Drosophila melanogaster: one gene and its partners. The protein of the gene in region 3 purifies or fractionates together with the protein of the main gene of each other region. This does not show direct contact. Each region holds a gene or a part of one and is shown on either strand. Other genes may lie near its edges.

Region 1 (7,688 bases), on a different chromosome or scaffold from region 3:
TAAATAGTGATTCATGTATCGACTTTCTTATAGAGGTCTGGATAATGCCGGCAAGACGACAATCCTGAAGCGCTTTAATGGCGAACCCATAGACACCATCTCACCCACACTGGGATTCAATATTAAAACCTTGGAGCACAACGGCTACACCCTGAATATGTGGGATGTCGGTGGCCAGAAGTCTCTGCGATCCTACTGGAGAAACTACTTCGAGTCCACTGATGGTCTGGTCTGGGTGGTGGATAGCGCTGACAGGATGCGCCTAGAGTCCTGCGGCCAGGAGCTGCAAGTTCTGCTCCAGGAAGAGCGATTAGCTGGAGCCACACTCCTAGTTCTCTGCAACAAACAGGATCTACCGGGAGCCCTCTCATCCAACGAAATTAAAGAGGTTCACTCTCATTGATTTTTTATTGAAACAACACATTTAATATACTTTATATTTAAAGATACTACACCTAGAGGATATCACCACACATCATTGGCTGGTGGCCGGAGTTAGTGCAGTGACTGGCGAGAAACTGCTTAGCTCCATGGACTGGTTGATCGCCGATATAGCTAAGCGTATATTCACTTTGGATTAAATACAATTTATTTTACTTCCTTATTTCTCGACCAAGTACATTTTGTATAGCTTTTCCTGCTTTTCGTCCGCAAAATTGGGCTTAAAGTTCACCTTGTGTATGGATATAAATCCTTCGTCTAGGGCGGGTTCCTGGTACTTTTTCTTCATCATGTTAAATACCATGTCCTTGATCTTGGTGCGCGCGGAGTCTGATAGCTCTCGGAAAGCTATATTGTGCTTCACTTGGGCGACGGGCACATTCATCACAAGGCAGCGGCATGGAATCATCTTTTCGCTGGCCAACTGCAAGAATTTTTTTCGAGAAGCTGCATCCACATTGGTGTTATCCACCACACATGATTGGCCCGAGTCCAGGAACCGTTTACAGGCAGTCAGGCAGTTTTGAGTGCTACCCAATGTATCTGCATTGACGATTTTGTAGCCCCGCGGTTGAAAAAAGCTGGAACAAAAGTGGCTCTTTCCGGATCCTGGCAGACCCACCATGATGACCATTTCGCAGGGGTGGTCATCGAGGGTCAAGTCATCCGGATCAAGCAGAGATACTTGGTCCTGAACGCTAGTGGGTTCAAAGTCCGGCTTATTCCACTGCTCCACTTGTTTGCCCAGGAAATGAACCTCTGGAGTGTAGAATGAAATTCCCACGTTGGCTGCAAAAAGTCTGTCTACTAAAGAGTGATCTTTGCGCCGCTTGGTGGCTCCCTTGCCCGTCTCCGGTCTTCCGGCTGCATCGCCGACGAAGAAACATCGATCTTCCTGAATCTCAACGCCATCATTCATTTCACTCTTTAAGTGCTGCCACATTCCCGTCAAAGGTTTGCGATAAAATCCATCACCTATGGCTATAAATACTTGAATTGGAACTCCCAGTTTAGCCACAATATGCTTGATCTTGACCTTAAAGTCATCTAGGTTGATTTTTCCACGAGCAATGCCTCCTTGGTTGGTGAAGAGACAGATTTTAAACCCATCCTTGTGGAGATTCTTTAGTTTCTCCGGCACTTCGGGAAATATGATCTGCCAGTCGTCGGTGTTTTTGGGGAACACCAGTCCCGATTTTGTTTTTATAATGGTGCCGTCCATGTCGTAGCCAGCTATCTTTTCAGAACCTTTAACGCCGACGCTGGTAAAGATAACCAGCTTACCATTGCCAGATGAGTCCCACCTCTCGGATTTCTCTGACGGTGATAGTGTTGTGGACAACGGCTCAGCTTTCTCCTTGTCATACTCCGGTGGAGGGTTAAAGACGACCTCGAACTGATGCCTGCCGTAAACGATCTCCACCAAGTCTCCGTGCTTCAGCTCGCGTTCCCCGTTCTGCATAAGCATCAGACCATTGACGCCGCAGGGATTAACTCCCAGGACTTTAAGTGAAACTACAGCCTTTTTTAGGTCCACTTGCAGTTGAATCTGTCGCTTCGAGCACTTGGAATCTCGGATGCCGGTCTCCCGGCTGCGTCCCACGAAATTCTCCCCAGCGGTCAGGTGTATAGAATGGTGTTCCGGCTCAGTGGGTTTAAGGGTGCATATCCTGGCGGCCACATCCTTGCCAGCTTTTCCAACGGATCGGTTTAGGTATTTAGCCATAGACATTTTGGTTAATCAATAAATAAGAGCATTGCTTAATATTGACACCAAAATTCACTAGAGAGCGAATAGTGTGACCTAATTTGGCATTAAAAGAAGAAGAGTGGCACACAGACATATGTACTTTGAAATGAAAGTGGTTGTTTTTACCTATTTAAATTGAAAAATAAATTACTCCATATAAAAATCGGAGCCTAGGCTCTGTGTGAAACCCTTCCAGAAATCTTAAATCCATCAAAGATGGCTTATAGTAATAGTGTCACTTAAACATTATTCGATAGTTAAAGGCAGACAAAATTTTGTTCCGAATACTCCAGAAAGTTTCAGGAAACGTAAATGCAAAGAAACTGTTTCTCTTTGCGCGTAAGTTACCACCATTCCATACAAAACATTAATTTAATTCGTTCTTTCCGATCAGCCCTTCCTTCGGGGAGTCGGTGATGTGGGTGCAGTTTGTAAGCCCATTCGTGAATTTCGCAACTCGGCTGCTTTGAAATATGCTGCTGCTGCAGCTGCAGCTCCGAAGACACGTCCTGGAAAAGTTCCTCCAAAAATGGTCAAATTGAGGAAGCAATTTCAGGCGGACAATGATTTGCCGATTTTTCTAAAAGGCGGCAGTATGGATAACATATTATACAGACTCACCTGGGTGCTCTGCTTCCTCGGCATAGGTGGCGATGTATGGTTGTGGCTTGGCTATATCATTGCCTAAAATCAACAGAGATCATGCAAGCAAGCCCACAAAACACAAATACTCTGTACACGAATGCAAATACCAATTGTAACGACACATACATTAGTTAACTAGTAACGTTTCTGTACATAGGTAGTTCAAATACGGAAAATCAATTATATAATAATAATAATGTGCTTTACTTCAAAGTGTTCATTGGAGTTTTTAAATTATGCCGCCAATATTTTGCCATTCACATATCATATAACACATATGTGGTGTTATATCGACTCACAAAGCAGCTGGTCACACTGCTTGAACAACTTGCACTTTTGTCGGCATTTCTTAACTGCATATTTTCTCACTTTTTAAAGGTAAGTACGCACGAAATTACTTATTGATTATCTTTTCCACTTAAAACACGAATGCCCGGTGGGTTTTTGTTTGTTTTGCGATTGACTAACCACGTAGTTCTTAAACATTCACATTTTCCTTGGGCTCTGCCAGTTCTTCACGTTTTCGGGCTCCATTTTAGCCATAGTTTTGTTTTCTATATTCTTGTGGTAAAACGCCGCTTAACTGCCACATCTGCAGTTTAGCCGGCTTGCTGGAGATAAAATTGCATTATCAAGTTTTCATGTGTTCCCCGAGTTATTTGGCTTTTCATCCAAATTAAAGTAGCCTTTTCACATTTTCCAGTTGGGCGACAAGTAATGTAAAGTCTTCAAATAGAATACTCTCAAAAAATTCCCAGTAATGTTTTGGCTAAGAGGGCTACAGAGATCCCGGCAGCAACTGAACAGGCTGTGTCATTTCCGTAGTCGTCTAAATTACGGGACCAGTCCCAGTATTCGCTCAGTCCAACCGTCAATCTCCAGAAGTTTGGGATTTTGTAGCTCCCTCGTTCGTTACAGGTATTTGCCAGGTGTTATCTAAAGCCCATGTATATAATCGGTCCGGTTCGCCATATGATATCTTTGCAGCTGCAGCACCAACCTTCCCCAACCCGCTGAGATGGCCAGTAAAACCGCGCACTTCGTCCTGCCTAACACGCAGCCCATTGCCGATTTGGACTGCAAGAGTGCCTTCGAGAATCTCACCGAGAAGGAGAAGCTCTACGCCCACCACTTCAGCCAGGCCTCCTGGGACGGCGGACTCATTGCCTTGATCCAGTCCAGTCCGGAGGCGCCGCTCATCTTCTCCCTGCTGCACCGCATTTTCCTAGCCGAAAAGATTCCTGTTCTTAGGGCGAAAGCCCTGGAGGCGGGAGTGTCTGCTGATGATTTTACGGTATGGCAGAGGAGAGTTTCATATTCTCGAAAATAAATATTAATTTTGATCACTTTCAGGCCTTCCTAGTGTACGCCTGCGGTGTGTTCGCCAACGCGGGCAACTACAAGGGTATGGGCGACAGCAAGATCGTTCCCAATCTCTCAGAAAAGCAATTTGAGACTATAGTAAAGGCATCCGCTGCTTACAGCGATGAGCCGCGCGTAGGCAAGATCTTCGAGAAGGTCAAGAATCTGATTTATGCGCTCGAGTCGCGTAACGAGATCCTGGGCTTTGCTCCCGACGGAATCACCACCTACTGGTCGGATAACTGCACCAAGGAGGACTCCGAGATCGTGAACGCTTGGCTGACCTCAAAGCGTATCGAACCGTACATGTGCCGGACCTTCAAGATAGTTGAAAATGGTCAAACCGTCTACGATGTAAAGCTGGGCTCCGTGGCGGAGTCCACGCAGGACGGCATCACACTTCCGCTGGAAGAGTATAATGGCAACAAGTTTAGGGTGACACGCGGTGATTACCAGAAGCTGCTTCAGCGCGTCAACCAGCATCTGCTGCAGGCCCAGAAATACGCAGCCAATGAAAACGAGTCCAAGATGATCGAGCACTATGTCCGATCCTTTGAACAGGGCTCGCTGGACGAGCACAAGAACGGATCGCGTTGGTGGATCAAGGACAAGGGACCTGTCATCGAGACCTACATTGGTTTCATTGAGACATACAGGGATCCTGCTGGAGGTCGGGCTGAATTCGAGGGCTTCGTGGCCATGGTGAACAAGGAGAGCTCGGCCAAATTCTCCGAGCTGGTGAACCGCGCCGAGAAACTAATAGAGTACCTGCCCTGGACGGAGCCTTACGAGAAGGACTCTTACCTGAAGCCAGACTTCACATCCCTGGATGTCCTCACATTTGCCGGCAGCGGAGTACCAGCGGGCATCAATATTCCCAATTACGACGAAATCCGCCAGGATGAAGGCTTCAAGAACGTCTCGCTGGGCAATGTGCTGGCCAACATCAACCGCAAGGATCCCATTCCTTTCCTCACCGAGGAGGATCAAACTCTGATGAAAGAGTACAAGGTGAAGGCTTTTGAGGTGCAAGTGGGCCTCCATGAACTCCTAGGCCATGGTAGTGGCAAGCTATTCCGCATCGACGAAAATGGTGTGTACAACTTTGACAAGGAGAACACTAAGAACCTGGTCACCGGTGAACCCATCACCAAGTGGTATCTTCCTGGAGAAACTTACGACACCAAGTTCGGAGCAATTGGTTCCTCGTACGAGGAATGCCGCGCCGAGGCGGTGGGCTTGTATCTCTCCCTGCAGCGTGACATCCTGGAGATCTTTGGCTTCAAGGACAAAGCCGAGCAGGACAACATCATCTATGTCAACTGGCTGAGTCTCATCTGGAACGGCATGGGTGTGGCTCTGGAAATGTTCAACCCGAAGTCCAAGCTGTGGCTCCAGGCGCACTCTCGCGCTCGTTTCGTGATCATGAAGGTGCTGCTGGAGGCAGGCGAAGGACTCGTTAAGGTCGAGGAAACCGAAAAGGGTAAAAACCTTTTGCTGACGGTGGATCGCAGCAAGATCGATACCGTGGGCAGGAAGGCGCTGGGCGATTTCCTGACCAAGCTGCAGGTGTACAAATCCACCGCCGACATCGAGGCAGCTTCCAAGATGTACGAACACTACTCGAAGGTCGACGAGAGCGGATCGCATCCGTGGGCCAAGTGGCGGGATATCTGCCTGGCGCACAAGAAGCCGCGTATGATTCTCGTCCAGGCCAACACGGCGATCGGCCAGGACCAAAAGGTCCAGCTGAAGACCTACGAGCCCACCCACGAGGGGTACATCCAGTCATGGGTGGAGCGCTACCCCAACACTGACATCGACGATCTTCTGGAGAGCATCGTGGAGAAGGACAAGAAGTATTTCCCGACTGCCTTCAACAACTGAGAACATTTCGCATTTAACATTTTCGCCTTCATTATCAATTCAATTTGTTAACTATGATTTTGAAAAAAAATATATAAAAATATATATAGTCATCTAATGACCAACAATTTTAAATTTTAAATTGCTTTTATAGTAAAACTTTCGTAGTGAATGGTGATTTTAAGATCGTTTTTGCCATTCACCGAAAATATTGACAAAGGACCTGAATTTAATTGCTTGTATGTACATACATATATTGCGACCAAATGTATATTGCTCATAATAGCTCCACAATTAAGAATGTAAATATAAAATCAAATACTACAATTTGTTCATTGAATGTTTTCATAGTAGCCAGTCGATAAATATTGGTTTTTTTTTTTTTATTTTGTTTCTCGTTTCCATTTCTGTTTGCATTGTTTTGACCACCATGGCAACCGGTAGAAATCGTGGTAACCACAAGGAAGGTGGCACTATCAACATCGGACAGCCGCTATTCCAGGTGCCTCATTCATTGCGCAAGGAGCACGACTTTTTCAGCTCACAGCTGTTCCGAAAATTGCAGTACGACCTGGAGGAGGTGAGCCGCAGCCAGGAGCTTTCCAAAGTGAGTCCCATAACCCGCGACTTCATCGAGGAGGCAGCGATGACGCAGGAAATGCAAGATCTTAAGCGTGCGGAGTTTGTGGAGAGGAAACGTCGCCAGCAATTGCGGCGGGATTGCGAGGAACTGCGCGACTTGGCGGAGCAGCTGCGCCTAGCCGCCATTTCCAGGGATATAGCCGAGAATTTGGAGGAGAAAAAACGTCGTCGACAGCTAGACATCAAATTGGAAGCCGCGGAAGTGTCCCAAGAGCGCTGTCTGCTGGAGGTCAGGCAACGTGAGAAGGAAGTGGCTCTTAAGGAGGAACAACGCCGCCTTAGGGAGTCCTTGGCTGAACAAATGGAGGAGAACCGCCGACGGCGCCTGCAAGAGCACGCTCAGGTGATGAATGACCGGGAGCTGAGCCTTCTGATGCAGAAGCAAATCCAGGAAGAGGATCGAGCCCAGGAGCTGGAGGCGCAGAGAAAAAAACTACAAAAGCGACAGGACATGCTGCGGTCCATCAAGGAGAACCAGGAACTCAGAGAATGGCAGCGAGCTCAATACAACCAGGAGTTGAGTGACTTAGTCCAGAAGCAAAGTGACATGGAGCGCAGGAAACTCCAGCTGGAGGCTGAACGCCAGGAGATTCAACGCAAAAAACAAGAAATCAGCATTCGTTTGGGCCAGCAAGTCCTAGAAATCGAAGTAAGTCTTGAAGCGGTTTTTCGATTCAATCAATAAAGCTAACTCTTATTGCAGAACAAAAAACGGCATCGCGACAATCTGCTGCTGGATCTGTTGGAGGCGGAGTACACGGCCAAGAGTGACGAGCGCTATCGCCAACAGATGCAGCAGGAGCAGATGTCTCGCCAGCGCACCAGACAGGAGTTGGATCGCTATCGACAGGAGGTGAAGCATCGTAAGATGGCCGAAATGCAGATGAAGCGGGCGGAGATGGCTACGCGGCAGGAGGAGGCGCCGGATACAATCAACCAGAATTCCGAAAAGCAACTGGATGAATATCGCAGACGCCGGGCC
Region 2 (6,410 bases), 3.5 Mb from region 3:
TCGAAATGCCTATGCTAATAGTAGATGTGTATAAAAATCCACAAGAGTGCCTCATATTTCGGAACTTCACCTACTGATATTCGAAGATTTTTGGGATAAAAAACCTTTTTCTAGCTAATCGTGATCTTAATCTCTTCCAGCTGATTAGCCCACAAGTATGCAATGTGTTCTTACAGAATGATTTATTGTAACAAAAAAAAAAAATGTGTGTGGTAATCAATCTAAGCTAACGAGTGGGGTATACATTGAGTCATGCGAATGAAAACACGATTTTTATTGCACTTTAGCCGGTCCGCGCCGACGCGTAATCTTCACCAGCCGCCGGCGACGCTGGCGTGGCACTGGGAGCTCCGTTGTCCCGCCGGCCGGCTGCTCCGACCGCGGCCCCTGCTGATCCGTGCCCTGGGCATAGCTGTAGCTAATGGTGCGCTTGTAGATGCGCTGCTCCTGCTCCGACTGCTGCGACTGCTGGGAACGCGGCTTACGTTTGTGAACGGAGCTGGACGGATGACGGGTGGAGGAGGCCTTCGTCTTTCGGGTCTTGGCCTTGCGGGCCTGCACATCGTAGCAGCGTTCGATCTTCTGGCCCTTGCTGTCCTTGCACTCGTAGCAGACGCTGTTCTTCTGCTGGCGGCGCACGCACAGGCTGCTGGGCGCCACCGGCTCGGCCTGCTCCTGATCCGCCTTCTGTGCGGGATCGTCGCGGTAACGCTTGTACTGGCTGCCGCTGCCATAGGCGTACTGCTGCGGTTGGTCGTCGTGCGAGTAGCTGCACGTTTCGGACACCTCGTTGTTCTTCAACTGGCGACAGATCTCGCACAGCTGGCCATCCTTCCGTTTGACCTGCCGGCAGCGCTGATCCCTGACATTGGTGGCCTCCGCCTGGGTCTCCTCCTCCTCCTCCTCCACCAGGCCTTCGCCTTCGTCGTGGTCATCGTCGTCGGCAGCCCGATCGAAGTACTCCTTGACGAACTGCTCGTAGTTGCGCTCGTAGTTGTCCTCGCCGGAGTAGCCCTCGTGGCTGGTCTCCGCACTAAGGCTGTCCACATCGTCAACGGCCGCCGCCTCTGCATCCGTCTCAACATCCACGTCCACGTCCTCATCCACCTTGGCCTGCGCTTCGTTGGCTGGCAGGATGGGCTGCATCAACTGCGGCAGTTTGACCACCTTCGATTGGTCCACATCCGTGACGGTGAGAGCGTCCAGGCGCTGGAGCAGCTTGCCGGGCGCAAAGGCCTCCCAGTAGTTGACGCTTCGGTCGTAGCTGTCCGCCAGGGAGACGGCCAAGCCGAGTAGCAGCAGCTCCGGCAACAGCATCGCATAGAAATCTGCGACTTCCGTCGCCTGCCGTCGCTTTTATGGACTCGACACTCGGCCTGACTCGACTGCACGCCACTTCACTTCACTGCAGATGGAAGCGGGTCCAATGGAGCGCGTCCAAACCGCAGAGCCATCAGGAAGTGTGGCCCAACTGATCCGCGAGGAGGGAAGTGCGAGTGAAAGGCAAGATTTATTTCGTGTAGCCAATCAACTAAATCGAACAAAAGAAAGGGGAAACAGAATGCAGGTGGTCGGTTGTGGAATGGTCAGAGTGGGTGAGGCTGGTGAGGTTGGTGAGGTTGGCTAGGGGCTGGTGCAGCTACAACTACGCCGCTCGCTGTCCGGCGGTCAGTCGCTGAGCGCCCACAGTGGGCGGGGCCGGGCGGACGGGCGGCTGTCGCTGATGGCGCAACTCACGACGCTTCTCACGCAGAATGTGCTTGGTCTGGGAGGTGTCCAGCTCCTCCCAGCCGCCGGCATTATCATCCACCCAGTCCTCGAGATCGGCCTGCCGAGTAAGAAACATTAGTTCGTTTCATGCATTCCATTCGGGCTATAACTGGCTCACATTTACGCTAATTGGCACCAAGTCCTGGGCCTGCAGTCTTGAAAAGTCACTTTGTTGGCTGGTCGCCGCACTCGTGGATGGATCCTCCAGGTAGAACTTCATCTGCGGCTTGATGGTGGGCGTCAGCTCCTAAAAGAAGGTTACATTTTAGCCAAATCGTTGAGGATATGAAACACAGATATTATAAATACTTATATATTCTATATATAGTCATATAAAGAATATATGCATTGTGATTCACAATTTTTTTATTTGCTTGTTTTTACTTTTGTAGGTATTAACTAACTTATTTAGCTGGATGGTTCTTCATGTTTTTTATTTTTTACTTAAATCAATGCCTGTTGCGTAGAAATAATATGGAGTTTTTGTTCATAAAACAGATACCTCAATATGAACAATTAGCAAACTAAAAACGGCTGTTCATTAACAAATATTATTCAGCGTTGTAAGCACTCACTTTTTAGTTTACTATGCAAGTTTTCTATATTTTATAGCTTTAAAAATCATAGGATAAATATTTTGACATTTGCATTTGTCAAATCTGCAAGTATCTATTAACAAATAATGCGTTTAAGTACACTCTTTAAGTATTCCTGGTTCAAATGTTGTGGACTCATAAAATCATATTTTTGAAATTTCTAAAAAACTATTGAAATATTAACAAATTATCACAGTAATAAGCTAAATATTCATATTTTTTAAGTAAACCTTTTAAATATTCCACAAATATTTAGTTAAACACAACTAGAAATTAAGCGTAATTTGAAATAAATGGTTGTGAATAGTTTCGAAAATGATTTCTTTCTAGATTTTTATACCTGTCGTTTTCTATGGCTGCTAATCTTTATGACGTGATTATGGCCCACATACAAACTTGTGCAGTTGATAGGGTATAGGGTAAACACGCCGAAGTCACCTAGATACGTGTACAGGTGGGGATGTCGCCATTTAGCCCCAACATAGCCCACTATCCCACCATCAGCGAGCGTGAATATCCCTACAATTGGGCTACGACTATGGGCCGTGCAAGCGGCGCAATCTGCGTAATCCGCGCCCATTGCCTGAGTACCAACTCACACTGAAGAAGTCCGGTTCGGGTTCCTCCTTGGGCGGAGTGGGTGGCTGGGCCATTCGCTGGCGGTACTGCTCGATGTGCTCCTCCACGGTGCGCGGACTGTCGTCCCAGGAGTTCCAGTCCCGCTCGCGCGCCCCCGCTGTCCTGCCACCGCCGGCCTGGCCAGCGGAGGTGGCGCCGGTGGCGGAGAAGTCGCCTCGCTCCACGATCACGTTGACCGCTTGCAGTTGGTCGGCGGATCCGGTGGCGGAGCCGCTGTGGCTGAGCTTGCGGCGCCTGGAGAAGCAGCACAAGGCACGCCGGCACAGCGTGATGATGCCCAGCACCAGCATCTTGATTTGCTGCAGCATTGTCACCTGGTTAACTATCCTATTCTATATTATTTACTAAATTTCAGTTTCTTGGACCCCGTTAGTGTGACCGCCACGTGGACAGCGGCGAATACCAAATGGTTGTACTAAGCTACCGACTTCTCTATTTGTAAATACCGAAAACTGTGACATTACCGTTAAGTATTAAACAGTTTAACTGTGATTTTTGAATTTATGTTTTTTCCTTTTTTGAAAAATACTGTATCACATTCATTTTTCCAAGCTATTATATTAAATATTAAATATATATGTTTCATTATCAAATTTCCATTTTAAGAACAAGCTGTTTTTTTCTTTATCGCAAATGATACTTTTGACAATTTAATTTCCCATCTAAAAACATGTTTTGGTTTTATTTGCTTAATACTTCTCGTAATTGTACCTAAATTACCTCAATAATTCACGATATGTTTTGTTAAAAAAAAAGGAAGGGGGGGGGGGGGTGGTAGAGTTTTTTTTATTGGACCATTGCACTACGTCCCTGGTTATCAACATCCTCGTGATCAACGTTGTTGCGTTCGATTTTGTTACGCCTCCGAAACTTGACGATCAGCACTTCGAGGACCCAAGGAGCGGCGCACAGGATCATGAAGCCGTTTAGGATGTGAAAGACGAAAATGTAATCCCTGGTCTTGTCCCGAATAAACCCAACAATGGGACCGATGAGGAACATGGCATTGCCTTGGATGAACATGAAAAGGCCATAGCCAGTGGCGAACCTTAAACGAGATGGAAATATATGAGGAATATATATTATAATTTTGTGATAAATGCTATAAGCTTGCCAAAAGAACCCACCTTTCCTTGGGCAAGTAGTCGGCAAAGACCAGAGGCAGTGGAACGTGGAGCCAGGTGCGCAGAAATCCAATGACCGCCGTGATGCAGGCCATGCCCACAAACTGTGTGATTCCGTTGAAGGCTGTGGGAAAATGAGTGAGATTAGTGGGAGGAAGGGAGTTCTTGGAGCCCAAGGAAGGGTTCGCCTACCGAATCTCGCAAAGACGGTGAAAACGGCTCCGGCCAAATAAATGTATCTCGAAGGAACCTGGATGCACACGGCGGTGATGGCCAGGAAAATACGAGATGCCAAGTCTGCGGCCGCTCCAATGGCGATAATGGTGGCCGTGTCGGGCTGAAAAAAAACAATATTATTTATGGGATGTAGAAGTTACTGAAAGAACTGGAAATAACCTGGTAATCGCAATAATCAGACTGGGAAAACCACTTAGAAATCGTTTATATATTCTTACGGTAAGCTTATGTTATTTTTATGTTTTTCTTTTACAAGGTTTTTAATTTTTTTTTTTTAATCTGTAAAATACTGTTTCCGATTAGCCGTTTTTTAACGGCGAAAGCGGACAAAGTGAATTCGAATAATTCAAAATGGCGTCGCGTTCGTTTCTGCCTTTTTTTGTGAACGTTTTTTATTCTTTTAAGTTGCTTCTAAATCTCATATAACTTAATTTTTGTTATCGATTTCAGATTTATCAGTTGCTTATATGATCGCTCAAAGTGTTAAGTTTGGTGTGCGTTAAAAGTTAGTAATTATTATTGAAACTGCGTTTTCGCAAGTAAATTTTGGCATTTTGTGATACCTAAAAGAAATCTATTTGTATATAATTCACAAGAACAAAAATTCAATTAAATCAGCAACGGGTGTCGGGTTCCGCGACTATTAGATACCCCTTACTTTGCAAGATATGATTATATGCAAGCATCGTAGATATTGCTTGGCAAGTAGTAAACTGCTTGACAAGCAGCAAGTCGACTGCTTTAGAGATTGTTCAAGGTGACTTTAGATATACGATCTATACCACGTGATATAATTTCAATTCAGTTTGAACTGGTTTCTCAAAGAAATTTTGAATAAGGTTATCAAGATTAGGGATATGATTAGGGATACGAAAAGTAAAAAGTACATATGGAAAGATTGCGAAAATTTATGTTAATTACACATAAATATGGTGTCTATTCTACTTTGCTAACATATATGCATACAATTTTTATGTAATTTTTCAATCAACCCACCACATCTACATTTCTTTCAATAGAGCTAGCAAGTTTAGTGTAAACTACGGTAAGCCTACTGCTCCAGCCCTTAACTGTGGATATTGTGGTAATGACTCACCCTGCTGTATCCCAGCTCAAATAGGTAGACTGGCTGCATGGTGAAGAAGGTGATGTCGGAGTAGAGGGCAAAGGTGATGCCCAGCACGATGTTAACGAAAATGGGCTTCTTCAGCAGCGTGAGATCGAGGAAGTCGACGATGGTGCGCACCCAGCTCTTTTTGGTAGCGTGGGCTGGAGCTACTGCACCTGATGCACCGGCAATCGTGCTCGGACGCCGTGAGGTCTGCAGGCTGTGCATCATCTGGGGCGAGGCGTCACTGACCACCACGGGTCCGGACCAATTGCCCAGGCTGGTGATGCTCGAGGCCCGACTGGACAGAACCTTCAGCATTTGCTCCTCGGCGTGGGAGAGCTTTCGCGCTCCTGGATCAGCGGTATGAAAGTTGGGCTCCTCTCTGGTAGCCTTAAGCGGTGTTTCCGGCTGCACTCTAATCACCACCGTTGGGCTCAACTCCTTGAGTTCCTCCTGCTCCTCGGGCTGGATGGGCACGCGACGCATGTGCCACTCCACTGGGTGCATGACCAGCATCCCGAACACCGCATGAGCATTCAGTCCCGTGAGGATGAGCAGGCAACCGCGGAAGCCGTACCATGACATCAACTTCTGCATGACAATCGGATATAGCATGGAGCCCAAGCCAATCAGTGTCTGGGCAAAGCTCATCCACATCACGCGGTTCTTGACAAAATAATGGTTGAATGTCGTATAGCAGGTGGGCACCATCAGCCCGAAGGCGAATCCCTGAACGACGCTAAAGGCCATGATCAGGTGTAGCGTGGAGGTGGCGAACAACTGCATTCCAGTGCCCAGGAAGTACAAGATGCCGCCAGTGACGCCCACCTGCCGCATTCCAAAGCGCTGGAACAGGGAGCCGGAGAACAGGCCGGCGAAGCTCATCGACGAGAAGAAGGCACTCGTTATGATGGCCATGGCACTCGTCTCCGC
Region 3 (9,283 bases):
ACTTGTCAATAGGGTGAACACAGACTTACTTAGCAAATTTGGGTTTCTAAATCATCCAACGTTACGTTGCAGCTTGAACGACTAAAACTTTACCCGCATCTTGGGCAAACCATGGAGGAACCGAAAAGTGTACCCACAGCGGAGCTTCCCAGCACATCAACCGGGGCATCGTCGTCCTCATCGACTTTGTCCAACAACGTGAGCTACGACAAGATAGCCTGGACTCGGGATATCACAGAACCCTTGGCTGAGGAGTCATCTACAAGTCAATTGCGCCCGCTGGGTACCTCGATTCCAACCAATTCGACGGCATCGGAACTGAAGAAGTCCAACACTTCGTATTCCTTTACTGGAGACTATCTATCTGGTGGCAATAAGGCCGATCTGAAGGGTGGCTATCCATTCGGCGGCACCGATACGGACACAAAAGCCAACGAAAAGGACAAGGAGAAGGAACATACCGCAGACGACTCACTCTACGAGTGCAACATATGCCTGGACACCGCCAAGGATGCTGTGGTCAGCATGTGCGGCCATCTGTTCTGCTGGCCGTGCCTGCATCAGTGGCTCCTGACGCGTCCCAATCGCAAACTCTGTCCCGTTTGTAAGGCTGCCGTTGATAAGGATAAGGTCATACCGCTGTACGGAAGAAATAGTACACACCAGGAAGATCCACGGTAGGTTTGAACCGCTTTCAACATGAGTATTTTTCAATAACCCAACTTATATGTGTTTTGCAGTAACAAAGTTCCACCACGCCCCGCTGGACAACGTACAGAACCAGATCCTGTTCCCGGGTTCCCTGGATTCGGATTCGGCGACGGATTTCACATGTCTTTCGGTATTGGAGCTTTTCCTTTCGGGTTCATAACATCTACGCTCAACTTTGGCGAACCACGTCCACCTGGTAGGTTACATGCCATCTCAATAGTTCTGAGATTGATATTAAATAACATTTGCCCATGTATTTAGCTGCTAATCGGGGAACAAGGCAATACGAGGATGAACAGACCCTGTCCAAGCTGTTTTCGTATTTGGCCGTTGTGTGGATATTGTGGCTGTTCTATGCATAGCAATCTGCGAACGCATAAAGACATCACCCCGATAAGAAGAACCTATGTTCAAATGTGTATGGAAAGCGTGCGAAGTAATCATATAGCAGTATCCTCCAGTTAAATCAACAATATTCTTAAACTCGTTGGGCAATAGTCGTTGGTGTGATTAATTAACATAAATTGTTAGCATTCGGTTATAATTGTAATTTGAGGATTCGCAAAACAGAAGTGGATTGGATCCCAAACTATTTCAAAAAGTCCGCGATACCCTACGACTCCAGCATAAAAAACTGAAATTTCGAAATCATTGGATCGTAATGATTTAATTCAAATGTAGATGTCAAAAATTGTATAAATATATATTTTAAATTCGATAAAACATTAAAAACATTTATTTCAATTCATTTTCCGTGTAGATTATTATCGATGGGTGATTGGGAGCGATTGAATCAATAGGAATAAAATAAATTATGGGTATAATAGAGGGGCTTTTAAAAAATCATTAAGTTTATTGCTTAACTTAAACTGCACAACATTCTTTTTAACTTGAAATGGCCATTGCCTTAAGAGCAAAAAAATAAAACACAAAATAAAACTGATGGCTACTTAAAATATTTTAGCTAAGCTAGGCGTTCGCCGAAACGGATTCCACGAACTGGATGAAACGCTGCCAGCGGGTCGCGAACTAGAGGATGTTTTCAGGTGGAGCTTGGGCTTGGCCGCAATACTTGTGGGACTGGGAAATCCGGATGAAATGCCCGATGAACTGGCCGCCGATAGCGTTGATAATGAGCCCTTCGACGACAATGGCTGTGCGTAAACAAGGTGAATTTGTTTGCTGATTTTTTACGTATGATTAATAAACAAAATGCACCTTCAAGTAGTTGCGATCCATGGGCGTTATCACTCTCAGCTCGAGTGTAGAGCCGCAGGATTGTATGAGCTGCACCACCTGCTGATGGGAGTACCACTTCACGTCCACGCCGGCTATCTCGACTATGAAGTCTCCCTCCTTGATGCCGCCAAGCTGAAAATAATGCCTACAGTATACGACGAATCGATGGAAGTAGCATTTACTTACGTCTGCCAAAGAATTAATCTCAACGTGGGCAATGATCACCGGAGCATCGCCGCGCACATGGAAGCCAAAGTTCTCAAACTCCTCCTTGTACAGATTGTATCCACCATCGTGCTCCTCGTCATCATCGTTATCCAATGGGCACTTGTTGTCATTGCTGGGCACGCTGTGATACAGGGAGGAACCTTTCTGGAGACGCACACATCTGGGCGCTGTCCAGTGGCGTCTCGCCGAGAATATTGCAATCGGGCCGAGGCGCTTGAAGGGATCCTTAACCTTGTGCGATGTGAAGTCGGGTCCGGTCAGGGATAACGTGAACTTCGAAGATGCTGAGGATATGGATGCATGTATGTACATGAAGACATCGGCTTATCTTGAGTATGATATATGTACCTTCTACCGATCGCTCTAGAAGATCGCCATCTTCGATATTTTTGGCTGAAGCTTGCAGTCTGAACTTCTCGAGCTCCTCCTGCGATTTGGAGTGCACCTCCTTCATGACTTCAGTCAGTGATGCCTTGTTCTTAAAGATTAAAGTTAAAGGTTAGGTTATTAGGCTATAGGATATAAGAAGTATATTTACCTTCAAGAACCGACACATCCGCTGCAATCGCTGGGCTTCCTCGATACTGGCCAGCGCCTCCTTTAAGTGGGCCAGTTTGTTGGCAATGGAGGTGGACGCCTCATCGCTGGCTCCATAATCGGCTGTGGTGATGCGCTCCACCTCCTGGGAATTGCCGATGAAGGATTCTTGGTTCTTTTGACTTGACTTTGATGCCTTCAGCTCGTCTGTCGCATCTATGCTCCGTGCCTTGTAGAAATGTGCGAATGCTGTTGGCGTTTACAATCATACTTTAGAATGAATATTCCCATTTCGAGGTGATAACCAATTCTACCTTTGTAGAGTTCCGCCTTGACTGGCACTAGACCGGCCCAGCATTCCGGAAGATAGGTGTGCGTATCGTTCGCCTGGATATTCTTGTGCATCTCATTGTACTCGTGCGATATTTGAGCAGCCTCGCCAGCCAGATCCCGAAACGCCTGGCAATCGTGCTGTATGGTTATATAGATGGTAAAATTATGTAACTACATACTATATACTATATACTATATACTATATATGCTGACGGAAACTCACGCTCATCGCCTCGATCTGCAGCTGAAGCTTCTCAAAGAGGCATTCTCGTGCCTGGGAAAGCATCAGGGAAACGAGCACGTCCAGGACCTGTGGCTTCAGGTCCATCGATGGTGCATTCGTGAACGTATCGTAGATGTGACGAAAGACCCCGGCGGCCCGTAAAAAACTATCCACGGCCAAGTCAAGACCCCGTTCCGTCGTGCGATCGTGTCGAGCGCCGATCTGTGTATATATGCCGCCCAGATTGAACAGGGTGCAGGCTTTCTCGAACGCGATGGTCCGCTGGCACGAGGGAACTCCCGTGAGCGAGTCGTACCACTCGAAGTACACGCCCAGGTTACGATCCGGCGGAAAGAAGCGACGCTCCACGTAATACAGCGTGTTGTAGTAGCGGAAAAGTAGGGCCACTCCCAGGGCATCTCGTGACGGTGTTTTGGATGCCTATTAGAAATTTTTCGCATTGGATTATATGTGCATAAAATTCTTATATATGTACGAGGCATTACCTGTCTCGTGTCCGTCATATCAGCTATGGCATCTATGTACATCGAGGGCTCCTCGCTGTAGTGTTCCAGGATGAAGTCGGAGAAGGGTTCCATGAAATTGATCTCCTTGGTTTCCTTCAGGCCCAGCGGTATCATGGGCATAATTCCATTGTGACTAGAGAGTATTAGAGGATTATTATTATAATACCATCAAAGGAATGCCTTGTAACTGCCTGCTTCCTTGAAAGTTAGACCTTGTGGTGGGTCTTCCCACCCAGTTTCTTATCCTAGGAGCGGGCTTATTAGCTCACCTTTCGCTCTGATAGATTTCCACCGACGAATTCAACTCGGCCAGTTGCTCCTTCAGCAGTTGCAGATTTGAGTTGACAAAGCTTAATTCCAAGGCAACTGTGTCGCGCAGTTTGCGATTCGATGTGGCCTAAATATATATATATATATATATATATATATATATATATACATAAAGATATGCATTTAGTTTTGGCATGGACATACATATGTATGTTCAGAGTGATAACGGAAGGTAAGGTAACGCACCTTATATAGATTCTCGGCACCAGCTCGAAGGCGGAGTTCCTTATTTATTTCTTTGTTTAATTTGCATCGCCTGTTTTGGAGTTTGCTACGACAAGTGGCAGCTCGTGGATCTGAACCCTGGAAACAGGATGCTATATGATTATATCGATTGTATCTAAATATATATATATATATATAAATATATATATATATAGATACGAATTTAAATCTATATTGTGGAGATATTTGGCGGATTCCTGAACGTCATTAGCCATGATAGCGATCCCTTAAAGTTATGACTCAGTGTTCAAAATCAAATATTCCATAACAAAGCTTTTGGGTGATACAATCATTTATGGCGTTTTAGGTGATAACAATTGCAATGGAAAATAATAATACTTTTACAATATACATGAATAATACCACTTGACATTTTTCGAATCGCTAAGTGCGCAAAAACATAAATAAATAAGATTGCTATTCTACACTTACCCGAACAAAACAAAAGGATAACTCATTGAGCTTCTCGTCATCCTCGTTCTCCTCGTTTTTCACCACCCTCGTCGACAATTCGTGTTCCTTTTCATCCATGGTTCAAAGATCCGAAATCCGAAATGATTATGATCCAAAAGGACTGCCAATAAACACTGGATTACTTTTCAATTTGTGGGTAAATGATGAAATAATAACAATACAACCTCCCCCCCCCCCCACCGAACTATTCACCACACCGCATATAGAGAGTTCTATAATAGACTTCCGACCTTCAAGACAAGACCAAGATCATGAAAATCCATGCAGCACTTGTTGTCGCGTTATGAATGGTGTAACTAACTATTATAACACGAGCTGCTCGTTTTTCGTATGTATGCACAACATGAGTAGCTAAAGATAGAACCGCATTTCTTCTTCTTTTTTAGCTTTAGGAGGTCAAACTCATCAATCGCCTTAACGGTTTTCGATTCGAGCGAGCCATTTAAGCAGCGCCAAACATCAACATATTATAACCGTCATGGCACTGCTCCAGGGCAAACTCAACTTGAGATATCGTGAATAAACACATTGGATTGCAATGGCATTATTTAATAGAACATTAGAGACTTACAAAGTGTCCGAATATTAAAGGGTTTGAGCATAAACGAAGACTTAAACATGTCAAGATCATAAAAGTCAGTTCATATCTATAAAAAGTGTGTGCCAAGAACTGGAATTCTGGGACACCGAGATATGACGCTTGTGATCGAACTGTATTTCTGGGACAGGCCGCTCGAAAACAATAGGAATTAACTGCCATTCGGTTGTTTTGTCGTTAATTCTCTTTTTGTTTCAACTAAACTATACACACATGCAAGCACGTCGGTTGGCTGGAGATTTCGATGTTGATTTCACGTATTCATGAGATCGCAGAATGCAAAGCATAAATACAGTGTTTTATCGGATTGCTCGCGATCGGAGGGGGAGGAATAGACATAGATATGGATATATATATATATATATACACATAGACATAGATATAGATGTAGACAAATATGTGGTTGGCCACTGGTTTCACTATTTTACACTGGCATTCCAGAGAGTCCATGGCATATATTTATGATAATCCGTGCTTGTTCCACATCATCAGTAGCATACTTTTGTACTACTGGTATGTTATGGCATAATTATTATACACATATTTACACGCCTTACAACTTTATAAGCTCGATGGACTCGACAAAAAAAGAAGCAAATAACCGAGAAATACACTTGTTTGCCCACAAATGCTCACCGTATCCACATACTCCACGATCAATATTCAAGATTTTTCAGCACTTGCCCAACGGAATTTCGACTCAATATCAGTTGGGTTCGACTTGTCTGCACTACACTTTCCACTATTACCAAAAAAAAAAGAAATATATATGCAACAGGTTACTGCTCTACCTTTTTGGACAACCGAAGCGCCAGATACGAGTTTCCGAACCACCGTAAAGTCTCAAACTGGTTATTTACTCGAGCCTAACTATTCAGATCCAGTGTGACCGTCGCACGGCCGTTATAACATACCATACGGTTAGCTGGGACGTTACCGAAATAACCAACAAGTGGTAACTTTTTCAGCAATCCTAACTTTGATGTAGTGGACTATAAAGCTATTATCGTAAATGTAAAACTACTATAATAAATGGGATAATAAAATAATCAAGTAATTAATTAATGCATACATATTACCAGACTAAGTAAGAGTTTGAAGTGTACTTATATGGAATATCATATAAACCTTAGTGCACTATTATGTTCAAACAATATATGATTTGGTAAAAAGATTTAAACTACACTATAGCATTATAAACCTTTTTTACGTTCGAAAAATATGGTTCTGGTGCAGTGTAACCGCATTTTACCCACTTTTTGAGATAACTTCGGTATGTTTGCAGTGCTGATAAATGAAATAAACAATGGAATCTAGAATAAATATGTGCTGCATAAACAATTAAATAATGATAAGAAGCATTGCATTGGCAAGTTTTAGCATCATCAGCACTAATAATTGGCAAAATTCCAGGTATTTGTATAATCATATCTATTTGAAAGAATTTAAGATAAAAAAGACTAGCTTATAAATTTACAGAAGTGTTTAACCACAAGCATAACAAAGTTAATAAATATATATACTTTGTATGGCATAGAATTTAAATTGAAATTTAACAAAATATTTATATTAAAAATCATTAACATACTGACAAAAGTTTGCGGAAAATTGAGTTAATCAAAGTTTAAAGAAACTTTGTACACCGTTTCGTTGCTCCGAATCTGCAATCCAGTATTTCACATTAAAAATTCAGCATTTTTAACAAGTGTAACCTTAGGAAGTGTTTTATATTTATTCATTTAAGGGTAGTACGTCTTCTTGAACCTGTTCTTATTCTTAGGGACGTCTGGTCGGACCGCACGTGGAACATACTCCTTGTCATGTGTGTCCAGCGTTCGCTGCCAAGGATTGATGTCCAGCTCGAAGAAGCGTCTCTTAGCCTCCATGGCACGATTGTTGTTATCGATCTTGTATAGCTTCTCCCACAGGTAGATTTCGGGCAGCTCCAAGTGTCGCGGTCGGTTTGATGCCAAATATTTGAAGGTCTTATTGATAAAGTCACGCTGTTCGGCGTTCTCATAGGCGGAAACGTCGGAGGCAACATACGGCTGCTGCTCCCCAATGCTCCGCTGAATCGATGGCGCATTGGCATAGAAATTGAGCAGGTGCCGCAGTGCGTTATCGTTGAAATCAACGCACTTGCCGCTTGCCGAAATCTCGGCGTACAGTGGAAGTGGCTTTGTACCGCGACAGAAGTTGACACGGGGATTTTCCGCCACGTTTGTGCCGTGCAGCAGCAGCGTATTAAGCTGATACTCATAAAAGCTCCATTCCCTGCCGTTCGTGATCACAGTTTGAGTGTTCATGGGATAGGTCAGTTCGTTGTAGGTGTTGAAGCCATTGTAGTTCGCCTGGGCCAAAAGCCAGGCGTATGACGATTTAATCGCCAGCGAATGCAATGCCTCCAGCTGATCCTGCTCGCCGAACGATTTCGGACGGATCTGCAGGTGTGCACGCGATTGAAATGAGAGCAGGCCGAAGTTATTCTCATTTCCTTTGGGCCAATAGCCTGGCACATTGGTGGCGTGCTGATGCTTGGTGCTGTAGCCGAGGGTTCGCGGGTCGTGCTTGAAACGGGGCAGCTGTTTGCTCAGCTCGAGGTTTTCGCTTTCCGCTTCCGTTTTCCACGGCGTCAATTGCTTGCGATGGCGTAGGGCAAGATACGGCGCTCCCGTATACTGAACCATCCGATCAACGCTCTCGTTTGCCATATCCTTTTGCCATTCCCGGCCCTTCTTCGATTTCTGCACGTTCTTGGGAGGATCTACGCCGCCAACGGCCCAGAACGCTTCGTGGCGTGGATTGTAGTCGACATCGAGCTCATCCAGGTGCTTGTACTCCTCGCTGAGCGACTGCAGCAGAGCTCTGTTCAGCTGTTCTACAATGATCTGCGTTAGGATGCGCTCACGTTCAACGGGGTTCGATTCGGCAGAGTTGTGTTGCTTTTCCAGATGCCTACGCTTGGTAATGGAGGAGAATGAATACATTAATATCAGACGGTCGAACTTGTAACTGGGACCACTCCAACCAATCCGAGTTCTTAAGTGAGTTGGACCAACTACTGTCCACAAACTCGCCGGAGAACTTGGTTCGTTGAAAGCGGACCTCGTTGTACCCACTTGTAGTAGTCGTGGGCAAACTCGAGGGCATCAATAACATCCCCGCGAGCCGCCTTGAAAAGACCATCCACGCTCGGCTGCTCCTGCTCCTGCTCGGAGTCCTTAGCCTGTGCCTTCTTATCCGTTTCAGATGGCAAATCCTCGAGCACTGTGCGCGTATAATGTTGCGTGAGCGGCAGTGCATTGTAGGGGATTTTCGAGTCGTTGAAGTCGACCACCTTGAAGCCGTAATAGCGGGGCATATTGATCTTGATCATCTTCTCCTCCACCGTCGGCACCTGCCGGATTTCCTCGTGCCAGTTGGCCGCATCCTTCTGCTTGCGCGCCTTGAAGGACAGATCCTGAATCTCCGGATATGCCGGCTCTGCGTCCGTACTATTCAGCTGCAGCTGCGACTGGCCGGACAAACAGCGCTTGTACGTCGTTCGCAGATGGCGAACACGGTTAAGCTTCAACATGCCGTCGAACCTAACGCAAGTTACGATTTATGTTTTCGAAGGAATAGAATTGACTTCAGTTTTTTGACAATAACTAGGTTATGTCATTGCTGCAGTGTGACCGCACGCTGGATTCAGAATAGGTTGCGCCAAGGTAGCGACGGAAAGTTTTGCGATGCCAGTGAAAGTAATGGTATAATTTCTATTTATGCAGTTCAATAATAATTCATAATGAATCATAGTCCTTTACTATTTAACGTGTAGGGGTACAAAATTTAACTTGCTTATGTTTCAAATCTTTT

Evidence for each region. The genes of interacting proteins can lie anywhere in the genome.
Region 1: the proteins of Rhp (region 3) and DppIII purify together in Drosophila melanogaster (affinity purification with mass spectrometry, with the first as the bait; one large-scale study listed by BioGRID). This does not show direct contact.
Region 2: the proteins of Rhp (region 3) and CG32536 purify together in Drosophila melanogaster (affinity purification with mass spectrometry, with the first as the bait; one large-scale study listed by BioGRID). This does not show direct contact.

What each region holds. Positions count from the first base shown.
Region 1 is NT_033777.3:8,341,270-8,348,957, forward strand, and holds DppIII (dipeptidyl aminopeptidase III), read left to right. Parts: upstream 1-3,130; 5' UTR 3,131-3,214; intron 3,215-3,539; 5' UTR 3,540-3,596; coding exon 3,597-3,754; intron 3,755-3,823; coding exon 3,824-4,130; intron 4,131-4,189; coding exon 4,190-6,085; 3' UTR 6,086-6,196; downstream 6,197-7,688. Other genes in the region: Arl2 (ADP ribosylation factor-like 2), read left to right, coding at 34-388, 447-581; PNKP (polynucleotide kinase 3'-phosphatase), read right to left, coding at 602-2,173; COX7AL (cytochrome c oxidase subunit 7A-like), read left to right, coding at 2,504-2,530, 2,586-2,879; CG7352 (uncharacterized protein), read left to right, coding at 6,495-7,355, 7,410-7,688. UniProt on the Drosophila melanogaster protein: Degrades neuropeptide proctolin (RYLPT) by cleavage between Tyr and Leu residues.
Region 2 is NC_004354.4:19,273,512-19,279,921, forward strand, and holds CG32536 (uncharacterized protein), read right to left. Parts: upstream 3,388-6,410; 5' UTR 3,314-3,387; coding exon 2,966-3,313; exon of another isoform or gene 2,707-2,965; intron 2,018-2,706; coding exon 1,889-2,017; intron 1,829-1,888; coding exon 1,646-1,828; 3' UTR 1,493-1,645; downstream 1-1,492. Other genes in the region: CG32537 (uncharacterized protein), read right to left, coding at 274-1,317; CG8028 (uncharacterized protein), read right to left, coding at 3,792-4,053, 4,133-4,253, 4,322-4,466, 5,463-6,410.
Region 3 is NC_004354.4:15,785,891-15,795,173, reverse strand, and holds Rhp (rhophilin), read right to left. Parts: upstream 6,278-9,283; 5' UTR 6,062-6,277; intron 4,928-6,061; 5' UTR 4,885-4,927; coding exon 4,786-4,884; intron 4,432-4,785; coding exon 4,315-4,431; intron 4,196-4,314; coding exon 4,068-4,195; intron 3,932-4,067; coding exon 3,778-3,931; intron 3,713-3,777; coding exon 3,272-3,712; intron 3,187-3,271; coding exon 3,030-3,186; intron 2,965-3,029; coding exon 2,717-2,964; intron 2,657-2,716; coding exon 2,527-2,656; intron 2,463-2,526; coding exon 2,137-2,462; intron 2,083-2,136; coding exon 1,930-2,082; intron 1,866-1,929; coding exon 1,662-1,865; 3' UTR 1,542-1,661; downstream 1-1,541. Other genes in the region: sordd1 (suppression of retinal degeneration disease 1 upon overexpression 1), read left to right, coding at 112-677, 741-907, 973-1,073; mRpS30 (mitochondrial ribosomal protein S30), read right to left, coding at 7,165-8,380, 8,545-9,002.